2 linked regions of the Drosophila melanogaster genome follow. The protein of the gene in region 1 interacts with the protein of each later gene in a pairwise test. Each region holds a gene or a part of one and is shown in the gene's direction. Other genes may lie near its edges. The genes, in order: CG12121 and okr.

Evidence for each region.
Region 2: the proteins of CG12121 (region 1) and okr interact in a two-hybrid assay, tested with the Drosophila melanogaster proteins (one large-scale study listed by BioGRID).

The regions. Positions count from the first base shown.
Region 1 is NC_004354.4:9,228,001-9,234,130, reverse strand, and holds CG12121 (uncharacterized protein), read left to right. Parts: upstream 1-1,752; 5' UTR 1,753-2,017; coding exon 2,018-2,128; intron 2,129-2,192; coding exon 2,193-2,303; intron 2,304-2,364; coding exon 2,365-2,510; intron 2,511-2,572; coding exon 2,573-3,431; intron 3,432-3,489; coding exon 3,490-3,623; intron 3,624-3,684; coding exon 3,685-3,952; intron 3,953-4,275; coding exon 4,276-4,863; 3' UTR 4,864-5,335; downstream 5,336-6,130. Other genes in the region: Ir8a (ionotropic receptor 8a), read left to right, coding at 1-1,405; Gr8a (gustatory receptor 8a), read right to left, coding at 5,497-5,571, 5,634-5,723, 5,783-5,934, 5,996-6,130.
Region 2 is NT_033779.5:2,988,799-2,994,636, reverse strand, and holds okr (okra), read left to right. Parts: upstream 1-1,877; 5' UTR 1,878-1,927; coding exon 1,928-1,930; intron 1,931-1,987; coding exon 1,988-3,302; intron 3,303-3,358; coding exon 3,359-3,512; intron 3,513-3,570; coding exon 3,571-3,976; intron 3,977-4,037; coding exon 4,038-4,201; intron 4,202-4,257; coding exon 4,258-4,570; 3' UTR 4,571-5,043; downstream 5,044-5,838. Other genes in the region: CG3558 (uncharacterized protein), read right to left, coding at 229-902; Bem46, read right to left, coding at 5,126-5,240, 5,300-5,478, 5,556-5,838.

The DNA.
Region 1 (6,130 bases):
CTTCGCCATTGCCGCACTGAAGATGTATTCGGAACGGGAGGAGGTGATCGACTTCTTGCCGCCATACTACGAGCAAACGGGCATATCGATAGCGATCCGGAAGCCGGTGCGCCGCACATCGCTGTTCAAGTTCATGACCGTGCTCCGACTGGAGGTCTGGCTGAGCATAGTGGCCGCTTTGGTCGGTACGGCCATCATGATCTGGTTCATGGACAAGTACTCGCCGTATAGCTCGCGGAACAATCGGCAGGCATATCCGTATGCCTGCCGAGAGTTCACGCTGCGGGAGAGCTTCTGGTTCGCCCTTACGTCGTTCACGCCACAGGGCGGAGGAGAAGCACCCAAGGCCATTTCCGGACGGATGCTGGTGGCCGCCTATTGGCTATTCGTCGTACTCATGCTGGCCACATTCACGGCCAATCTGGCCGCTTTCCTCACCGTGGAGCGTATGCAGACGCCGGTCCAATCGCTGGAGCAACTTGCTCGACAGTCGAGGATAAACTACACCGTTGTGAAGGACTCCGATACGCATCAATACTTTGTGAACATGAAGTTCGCCGAGGACACGCTGTACCGGATGTGGAAGGAGCTGGCCCTTAACGCTAGCAAGGATTTCAAGAAGTTCCGCATCTGGGACTATCCGATCAAGGAGCAGTATGGCCATATACTGCTGGCCATCAATAGCTCTCAGCCGGTGGCGGATGCCAAGGAGGGATTCGCCAATGTTGATGCACACGAGAATGCCGACTATGCCTTCATTCACGATTCGGCGGAGATCAAGTACGAGATCACGCGGAATTGTAATCTCACCGAGGTGGGCGAGGTGTTCGCCGAGCAGCCATATGCCGTGGCCGTTCAGCAGGGCAGTCATCTGGGCGACGAACTGAGCTACGCCATTTTGGAGCTGCAGAAGGATCGTTTCTTTGAGGAGCTGAAGGCCAAGTACTGGAACCAATCGAATCTGCCTAACTGCCCGCTGTCGGAGGACCAGGAAGGCATCACCCTGGAGAGTTTGGGCGGCGTCTTCATAGCCACCCTCTTCGGCCTTGTCCTTGCCATGATGACTCTCGGCATGGAGGTGCTCTACTACAAGAAGAAGCAGAACGCTCTGGAAATAACCCAGGTGCGTCCGGTGAATGATTCGTCGGGGTCCGGAGGCAATTCCTCAACAGCTCCACCCACTGCAACCAGCACCACGAAGCAGGCATGGCACATCCCTGTGCTGGAGGCGGAGGAGAAGCCAGCGAAGGTATCGCCACCGCCATCCTTCGAAACAGCCACATTCAGGGGCAAGAAGCTCCCGGCCAGGATCACTCTGGGCGATGGCAAATTTAAGCCGCGTCATGGACTGTACGCAAGGAGGAATCTCGGTGCCTCTGACTCCCACAGTGGCTACATGGAGTGAGGAGGCCAACATGGCCGAACAAACAAACATTGTTTCTTGTCGCACCTAATTAACAAGTGAAAACTATGTGTTAAATATATAATCGTTTTCTGTTTCATAACTTGTTTGCAACGTTTTCAAATAAACAATATCGCAATCGACTAAAGTATTAATTACATCTGATATTTTCAAGATCTAAAATGGCTAATTTAGTTTGATTTTAAACTGCTAGAAATGTGTTCTAAAATTTGAATTCCCGCTTGCCGCTGTTCTTGGACTAAGACTTAACGGCAAAACGGCTGTAGTGGCAACACTGCGAACCCCCCCACTCGTGTGGTATTTTTAAATCGATAGGTCCGGTCAAATAACACATGCTGATATCGAAGAACGATAGACTTCGATAGATCACCTTTTTTCCCCCAGCAAAAAAGTAAAATTCTTTGGGGTTTTTATCAAGGTGAGGTGTGAATAATAGGAACTGTGACGGCGGTCGCGGCAAATCGATTGCCGCATCTTGGATCGCAGCTAGCGCGGAACTCTGCGCCGGAACGTTCCGCCCGGAATCGCGGGGCAAAAGTGCCACGAAACGTCGCCGAAGAATAGAAGCGGAAAATTTGGGGAAAATACGGAAAGATGTGGGCTCCCGGCGGGGATGTTAAATCAATAGTGGTGCTGGCGGCACTGACGGCGCTTCTCTGGGCCCCACTTGAGGTCCTTGGGCGGAAGCACCATCTGGAAGTGAGGGTAAGTTGGAGGCACCCTTGCCAGCCTGGAGTAACTGACTCATAGTTGACCATGTTACCCGCAGAATGACCGTCGCCAGTACATCGCACTCAGCACCTTTGGATTCTACACTAATGGCCATTTGGATGTGCAGCTCAGCAAATTGACTTTTGACAATGAGCAGTCTACAGATTTGGTAGGTTAAGCCGGCTATGGCATTCACCACTTTCTCATCTGATCCGCTTTCTTCCTTGCAGATGGGTCTGTCGCTGGATAAGACCACTATTGACCAGCTTAATCCCTATTTGGACTCGCATCAAAACAAATGCATTCTCGAGGAATCACCTAAATCCCAGATCAGCGGACCCATTCTCTTCTTCGTGCTGGACCTCAAGGAGCTTAAGTATGTAGCTTCTCTTGTTTTTTTGAGCAGATCCATCTCATTTGGTACTTCTTTTCCTGCAGAGTTCGTGTTAAGTGCTCCCCCGAATGGCACAATATGCACATCTACAACCAAATCCCGTCCAGAACCAAGCGGCACTCACACATGGCCAAGGTCAGCGATTCGGTTCTGTTTCGCCAGACCCGCGCTGCCCAAGATTTCTCCGCCGAGGGGCCAGATGAGTCCATGGAGGATCCCTTGGAGCAAGAACCGACGGATTTAAAGTCTTCCTCGCCTGCTGCGGTTGCAGGCAAAATTGAGCTGCCCAAAGATGAAGGTGCACCCAAGGTAGATGCTCCTGCCCAAAATGTTGATGCTGTCAAAGAGGAGTCTGTTCCCAAGCCAGAAGTGGCTGCCAATCAGAATATTTCTGACAAGCAGGAACTGCCTCCCCCACCAAATGCCGCCCCTAAAGTGGAGGAAGCCGTTAAGAGTGAACAGAAGCAGGAGGAAGCCCCCGCTGAAAAGGATGAAACCCCTTCGAAAAAGGAGGAAACCCCAGCAAAGCAAGTATCCGTAGAAGAGCCAAAAGTCGCAGCCCCACCACTGGCCGTAAATAGCCCAGCAGCTGCTCCGTCCCTAGATGATACTGAAGTTGACAAGAAAAATGAAGCCACCGATACGGACGCAGCTCCCGGAAACCCTTTCCCCCACGAAGGCGATTCCGAAGAAGATTCATATGGACCCGACTCCTTTAAGCAATCGCAAGAAAACCTTTGCAAGGATTCGACCATGCCGCTGGTCAGGGAGACCATCAACAATGTACACTACTACAGCTTCAACTTCTCTATGATGGTGGCCACGCCCAGTGATGAGGGCTTGTACAACCTTTACTTCCACGCCTGTCCCAATTATCACACCTCAAAAATAATGTCCTTCAATGTGAGTACCAGCAACTATTCCACTTGGATCTTATCTAATGGGCCTGACCTTTACTTAGGTGGACATCGAGGAGAACAACAATGGCAACTATTTGTCGGCTGGAGAAATGCCCCTGCCAGCCTTGTACTTCATGATGAGCCTGCTCTTCTTTCTCTCCGGCCTCTTTTGGGTTTTCATTTTGAAGAAGAGCAAGTGAGTTAAAGTGGTTTGGCTGGCAATTGCAAAAATCATAATTGTCTCTTCTCTGTGGCAGGCACACTGTGTACAAAATCCATTATTTGATGGCCGTGCTGGTGTTCCTCAAGTCCCTCTCGCTGATGTTCCATTCGATCAACTATCACTTCATCGAAAAGCGGGGCGAGCATGTGGAGACCTGGGCCATCCTTTACTACATTGCCCACCTGCTGAAGGGCGCCGTGCTCTTCATCACCATCGTTTTGATTGGCACCGGCTGGACTTTTATTAAGCACATTCTCTCTGACAAGGACAAGAAGATTTTCATGATCGTAATTCCACTGCAGGTAAATTTTTATTTGTTATAAGTTAAAACCGAAAACGCACAGACCGTGGAATAGTTCTAATTAGTCATCAGCAATAAAAATATTTTATTGAAAGTTAGTTTTGTTGCGAGGCACTCATGACTGATTTCGTCACGTTCACGGTGAATTAAGACTTGTTTGTCCAAAGAGTAAATAGCGTAATTCCTATAATCTAAAGCTTTGCTGGTTGTGTTTACGATTAATGGCTCATAAAAGGCGAAGTTCGAAGAACGTTTTGTTTGTTTATCTCTAAATACCAAAAACAGTAAACAATGTAACTCATATTCACTTTTTTTCGCCCTCAGGTTCTGGCCAACGTGGCCCAGATCATTACGGACGAGTCTGATCAGAGCGACGCCGAGTTCCGTACCTGGCACAACATCTTCTTCTTCGTGGATCTGCTGTGCTGCGGCGCCATTCTCTTTCCAATCGTATGGTCCATCCGACATCTACATGAGGCCTCTGCGACAGATGGCAAGGCGGCGATCAATTTGCGCAAGTTGAAGCTGTTCCGTCAGTTCTACATCATGATCGTGTGCTATATCTACTTCACGCGGATCATCGTCGATCTGCTGCAGATGACGGTGGTGTTCCAATACGCCTGGCTAGACGAGATGTTCCGTGAGATGGCCACATACGTGTTCTTCGTGCTGACTGGCTACAAGTTCCGTCCAGTATCCTCGCATCCATACTTCACCGTGCCGGACGAAGACGAGGATGACGACGAGGTGGAGGTGCTTACCGAATCTGGTCTCACGGAGACGGTGCACCGTGTGAAGCAGCTAAACCGAAACCACGGAAGCGGCTTGGGCGGAATCACCATCATCGAGGGCAACGATGATGAGCGCGAGAACCTGATTGCAAAGCGGGAATCAAGCCATGAGTACGATTAGGCCCCATAATGGAAGCCAATTGATCTGCATCACCAATATTCCCTGCATTAGTCCGTAGTCTATAGTCCCCGGAGTCTTGGATATAATGACTCAAATTCTGAGCTAGTACTTTACCATTACTTTAATATATTTGTTTTATGTTCAGCGCATCTTAAGAGAAATCAATAAGAAAATCAAAAGCAAACGCGATGGCCATGGAGGGGATAATCTCAGCATATAAACTTGTATAGGGCAACGTCGGCACAACGTTTGGTGGGCACCAACTGCTCCTCCACCACCTCCTCCAGTGCCCGTCCAGTCGCCAGCCAAGGAACCCTTGTAAATAAATAATGAATCCGCTTAACGGAATACTGAACGCTTGTGACACCCAGGCCCTATCCTTGGTTTAAGATATACATATACATATAAATAAATACACTTATGTAATTACCTATAATTTTATGAATATAACAAAGCTTTAATATGTAAACCCAAGATTCAATCTGATTTAAACTGTGGGTGCAACTTGTAGAGATTAAAAACCACATGGAGAAATGCTAGTTGGTGAATCTCTAAAGTTTTTAAGGACAACTTCAAAAGCATATGTTCCTCAGCATTATGTTGACCTAATCATTTTCCACTTTTAAGGATGTCCTACATATAGGTATTGCTGAACTTTGGTATAAACTGGATGCTATAGATCATGTAGGTGCCCACGGAACAGGCCATCTGAAAGGACAGTGGTTATGTGTGAAACCATTACTCGAAGAGCGAGAGTACACCACACCCACCCGAGTTAGAAGACTGCAATCCAGGATGGTCAGGCCGAGGCAATCGATTCGTATCGGCTGATGCAGGAGTTGCAGTGAAAAGTTCTGAATCTGCCAAGAATCAAGGATGGGAAAGTGAGATACGACAGCATGATACCATGGCAGCCCACCTGCAGGGAGAGATCGGGACAGCTGCAGCAACCGGAATCGGTGACTATATTATGCAGCTGGTGGGCGATCCTGGGCACCACGACCATGCAGCTCTGCGAAGCGTATATGAAGGCGGGAATCTCGAGCAAGGCGGGAACGATTAGGTAGTAATCTGTAGGATGATACTCCATATATACTACATGATGTACTTAAATGATAGATCCCCAAGTCACCGTTGTTAATCACATTGTTGTAGATGCTGTAGTACATGAAGTAGCAGTCCACGGCGATGCGTATGTTGATGGTCAGCAGGACGGCGAGAATGGAGAAGTTGAAGGCACCCTGGAAACATTTGAGCATGTCATACA
Region 2 (5,838 bases), on another chromosome or scaffold:
ATACCTTATAATAAAGTCTTAGAATATAAATATATAAATCTTAGAAGATAAATGGAACAAGTCAAGTGGATTCATCACTCGTAATTGGAATATTACAGGGTCACTTTTTTAGTATTGCCTTATCTGGCTAATGTCGCTATTACGCGATGAATCATTACACAAATATTCATTTATCGCTATTCTTTTTTATGCTGAATGAATTGGAATGTTTAAAAGTTATGAGCTTACTTGGTAGTGGTTCCGCTTTTGGGTGGCGCCACGTTGCCATTTAATATCTGCTCCTGCACCTGCGTCTGGGCGGAGAAGAAAAAGAGGTCCAGCAGGTGGACATTCTGCATAAGAACCACGCACAGCTGGTTCAGCAGGATCACCAGGCGCTTCTCGAGATCGGGCGGAAAGATCTCGCCCTGGCTGGATGCCAGTATCTTGAGCAGGGGTCGCAGGAAGGGCTCGTGGCAGAGCAGCTGGTGGCGCGAGTGGCTGACGAGCAGTTCGTACAGCTTCAGCTGCTCCAGCCTCACAGCGTTGGCATACCGTCCCGTGGTGCAGGCCCACTCGTACAGCTTGTCCAGCAGATTCTCGCTGAGCAGGAATTCCAGGCAGGGCGCCGCAGGCGGACCACTAGCCTCGGCCGCCGGCAGCGAGACTTTGTTGCAGTGATGCAGCTCCACGAGCAGCAGGGTGACCATGTAGTCCAAGTGCGAGACCACGCCCAGCACGTCGTCGTGCGAGGGCGGTGCACTGTGCTGGATGATCTCGAAGGCCTGCTGCCAGTGCTTACAGAAGCTGTCGTAGCAAGCGCGCGGATCGCAGTCTGTGGCAGCGTCGATGGGTCGCTGTCGCAGTGGGCCGACGTGTCCGACGGAGGCAACGCCTCCACCGCTGCTCTGGCGCAGCCACATCGTTGTCGGTGCGGTGTGTGTGCGATTCGGTGGCTTTTAGTGGCGCTGGTCCGCTGATAACTGCTCCGTGTGCGTTTCGTTTGGCATGAATTGGTGGTGCTGGTGCTCTGTTATCTCTCGTTTTGTGCTTTTGTCCGACTGTGTGAGTGGTGAGTATTTCAATGTTGCTCGCTTTTTAAATATTTAGAAGCTAAAAGAAGACGCACTTTAGTTGAATATTCGCTATTTACTTTTCTCTAATGTTCCCAAGAACAACAAGTGACACACTTACGCACACAGCCACACACACACCTGTGTACGTGTGCCCACCTATTTGGGCACTCACTGTGGTTGTTGTTGCTGCTGCTGCTCGCTCACCTGATGAATTTAGATTTGATCATCGTCATCGTCTCCGCTGCTTTCCGCTCTCCGTGCATCGTGCATCTACACCCATTACTGTTTAGTGGCCCTTCTTAGATGGGTTTTCACGCTTGCAGCATTTGCAGCGTTTTTTTTTTTGGCACTTTGGCAATTACAATTACAAATACAATTAAGTGGTAGTACCAACACTTCCGCAGATTTGCGGACTAGATTTGCGTTCTTGCAGCACGAAATTCGCGCTTTTGGCGCGGGTTTTGAAGTCAAGAAAGGGAAGGCAGTCCGGCCCGCACTTTATTGCCTCATTTTGCACTATTTTCGTAGTGTTTCCAAAGCAATTCTGCGTAAATATTTACAATTATATCTGCACGGAAATAGAAAGTTAGCGATGAGCAGCTATCAATATAACATATCGATGTTTCGATTATACCTGAGATACATCGGGAATTTTTGACATCGGGGTGTAGCAATTCCATTTTAGTTTTATTTTTATCTAATTATCTATTCACTTTTAAAACAGCGTGCTATGATCACAAGTATTAGTTTGATTAAATGCGTTCTGTTTCATTATCCCAGCGTTCCACTTACCAGTATTTCTTATCGCCTGTGTGACCAGACTTCCGCGCTTCTATCAGCTGTTCGCGCTACCGCCATTTGAATTTAATGAAATGGTAAATACAAAAATTTGATTTATTTAATTCCATTTCCCTAATCATTTATTCCTAAAGCGGCGCAGTCTGGCTCCCAGCCAACGTGGACCACTGCGTCCCGAGTCCCGTCACTCCTTCACGCCGCCACTGCTGAAGAAAAACAAGCGATCCTGCCAGCAGGAACTGGAGCGAGAGCAAGAACTGGACAGAAGACGACTGGGCGCCCTCCGAGATGCCAGCAACACATCAGAGCTCCCACTGCCTATTCGCTTCACGGCGAACAGCGAGTATGAGTTGGCCATTGCCAAGGTTCTGGCACGGAAGTTCAAGGTGCCCATGGACAATTACGTACCGGATTACGGTGGTAAACGGGTCCTGGGCGTGCGGCGCTGCATTTCCCGACGACCCCTACACGATCCGATGGCCTGCAACGCCTTGGTACTCTTCCATCCACCCGCCTACACAGAACACGAGCGCATGGGCATGGATCCGACCAAGGTTCTGGTGCACGTCGTCGTCGATCCGCTGCTGAGCAACATATTGCGGCCGCACCAGCGCGAGGGAGTGCGTTTCATGTACGAGTGTGTGGAGGGAAAGCGGGGCAACTTCAATGGATGCATCATGGCCGACGAAATGGGTCTCGGGAAGACGCTGCAGTGCGTAACGCTGGTCTGGACACTTCTAAGGCAGGGGCCCGAGTGCAAGCCGACGATCAACAAAGCCATTGTCGTGTCTCCATCATCGCTGGTTAAGAACTGGGAGAAGGAGTTTACCAAGTGGCTTCACGGTCGACTCCTTTGCCTGCCCATGGAGGGCGGGACCAAGGAGAACACCATCCGAGCACTCGAGCAGTTCTCCATGACTTCTGCCCGGCTGGGGACACCTGTTCTGCTCATCAGCTACGAGACATTTCGCATCTACGCGGAGATCCTGTGCAAGTACGAGGTGGGAATGGTGATATGCGACGAGGGACATCGCCTCAAGAACAGCGACAATCTGACGTATCAGGCTCTCATGGGACTGAAGACAAAGCGACGGGTCTTGCTTTCCGGCACTCCCATCCAGAACGATCTTACTGAGTACTACAGCCTGGTGAACTTTGTAAACCCGGAGATGCTGGGAACGGCGGCCGTGTTTAAGCGCAACTTCGAGAGCGCTATTCTGCGGGGCCAGAATACTGACTCCACGGAACAGGAGCGACAACGGGCCATAGAGAAGACACAGGAGCTGATAGGTCTGGTCGATCAGTGCATCATTCGTCGCACTAATCAAATTCTAACCAAATATCTGCCGGTTAAGTTTGAAATGGTTATCTGTGCGAAACTGACGGCGATTCAACTCGAGCTATACACGAATTTCTTGAAGTCTGATCAAGTTCGACGTAGTTTGGCGGGTAAGTCATTAGGCAATACTACCACAACATTCCTACCATTTACAATTCCCTTCAAGATTGCAATGAAAAGGCTTCGCTTACGGCGCTGGCAGACATTACAACGCTTAAGAAGATTTGCAGTCATCCGGATCTCATATATGAGAAGCTCACTGCGCGGGAAAAGGGATTCGAAAACTCCCAAAATGTGCTGCCTAGTAATTACAAACCAAAGTACGTCGCCTGTTGCGCGCGAATAGCAATGGCTATTAATGAATCTTTTGTGTTCCAGGGATCTCAATCCAGAGCTAAGTGGCAAGTTCATGCTCCTGGATTTCATGCTGGCAGCAATACGTGCAGAGGGCAACGACAAGGTGGTTCTCATTTCCAATTACACACAGACCCTGGACTTGTTCGAGCAGCTCGCGAGGAAGCGAAAGTACGGATTTGTCCGGCTTGATGGCACCATGTCCATCAAGAAGCGATCGAAGGTTGTTGACCGATTCAATGACCCGGAGTCTGACAGCTTCCTTTTCATGCTGAGCAGCAAGGCTGGCGGCTGCGGCTTGAATTTGATTGGAGCCAACCGCCTGTTCATGTTTGACCCAGACTGGAATCCGGCCAACGATGAGCAGGCAATGGCCAGAGTGTGGCGTGACGGGCAAAAGAAGCCCTGTTACATATATCGCCTCGTTGCCGTGAGTACCTGAATTGGTTCTGCACGGAACTTTCTTTTTCAACTCAAGAAATCTCTTTCAGAGTGGTTCCATCGAGGAGAAGATCCTGCAGCGACAGACGCACAAAAAATCCCTGTCGAGCACCATCATTGACAACAACGAGTCGGCCGAGAAGCATTTCACCCGCGACGATCTGAAGGACTTGTTTACATTTGATGCGAACATTCTGTCCGACACACACGACAAGTAAGAACTGGCTTTGGATACCCTTTAGATCATGATCGTGTAACATATCTTTTCAGGCTCAAGTGTAAGCGCTGCGTTCAAAATATACAAATGAAGCCACCGCCCGAGGACACGGACTGCACCTCGCATTTGTCACAATGGTACCATTGCTCCAACAACAGAGGCCTGCCTGACAATATTCTCGCCCAGGCCTGGATGGATTGCAAGTGCGTGTCCTTTGTCTTCCACCACCGATCGCAGGCTCAGGAAATTGTGCCGAGTGCTGAGGAGGAAGCAACAGATCAGCCAGAGGAAAAACCAGAAAGCCGCAAACGATCATCCACGCCCGCCAGTGATGACAGTGCCGATGAGGACTTCCGTGGATTCTAGCAATTGTTTGCAGTTTATTGTTTCTCGAATTTCCTTTTTCTTCGCACTTAAGTCTAAACTTAAGATAACTTTTTCTGGCTTCCTTTGCAATCCTAACAAGTTATTAATTTAACATTTCAAAAATGGAACCAGCACAAAATGTTAACGTGCTAGGGGTGAAGGCTTCTATAAACTAATCTGGCAATGTAGGAGTCAGTCCAGAAAATAGTTTACTTTTTTGTGAAATACTGATCAATTTCTATACTCTTAACTGGCCGCCAATCGGGCAAAGTAGTAGGTTAACATAGCTTAGGACAAATACAAGCAAACATCGAAATTCGGATTCTAGTGTGTATTCACTTGCTTAAGCGCAAAGTTATTTAAGTTGGTTACTTAAAATCAACAGCCATCTCCGCTAGCACGTTATTCTCTGCACATAAAAAGCAATTTGGCGTATAGCAACGTCCGGATTAAAACCCTGTCAGATACAGATTAATATTATGCGTGTGTATATGTATAAGTATTAAACCATTCGCAGTGTTAACACAGTCAATTGAACACTTGATGTATTCGGGTCTATACATCAATAATTTTATGCTCCAGCTCCACCCAGACGTTGCTCTTCTCCGGCGCCTTGAGGAGCGGCTGTTGCTGCAGCTCGGCCAAAAACCCACCGATGGCCTGATAGTACCTAAAAAGCAAGCACACCCATGGATAAATGGGAAAGTGAAGATTAATTGCCGGCCATACCCGTCCACTATCCAAGTGTCGTTGTGCGATCCGCCGGGGAATTCGAGCAGGCGCTTTATCTCGCTGCCGCATTTGGTATACAAGGCACGCATCATGCGCGGTGGCACTAAGTTGTCCGCAAGGCCCGAAATAAACAAAAAGGGAACCGAACACTTGCCTATCTTGCTCATGGAGTGATACTGCATGTGAAACAACAAACAATAATGTGGTAATGAGATAAAGTAAACAGAGGGCTCAACCGGCGACGACTACCCACCTTATTCTTAAATAATAGATTTGGTATATACTTCACAGCGGGATGCACCAGCTCCACGGCCATTTCCGGTATGCTGCTAAAAGTGTTCTCCACAATAGCGCACATTAGCTTCTGTCCATATACGGTATCGGCTGCAACGTCGACCACCACAGCTCCGCCCAGGGAGCGTCCGAAAAGTATCAGTTGCGAGTGGTCCAGGTCGTGGCGGGTGTGCAGGTAGTCAATGGCCGCTCTGGCGTCGGTGACCAGACCCCGCTCGGTGGGTACACCGGTGGATAGGCCA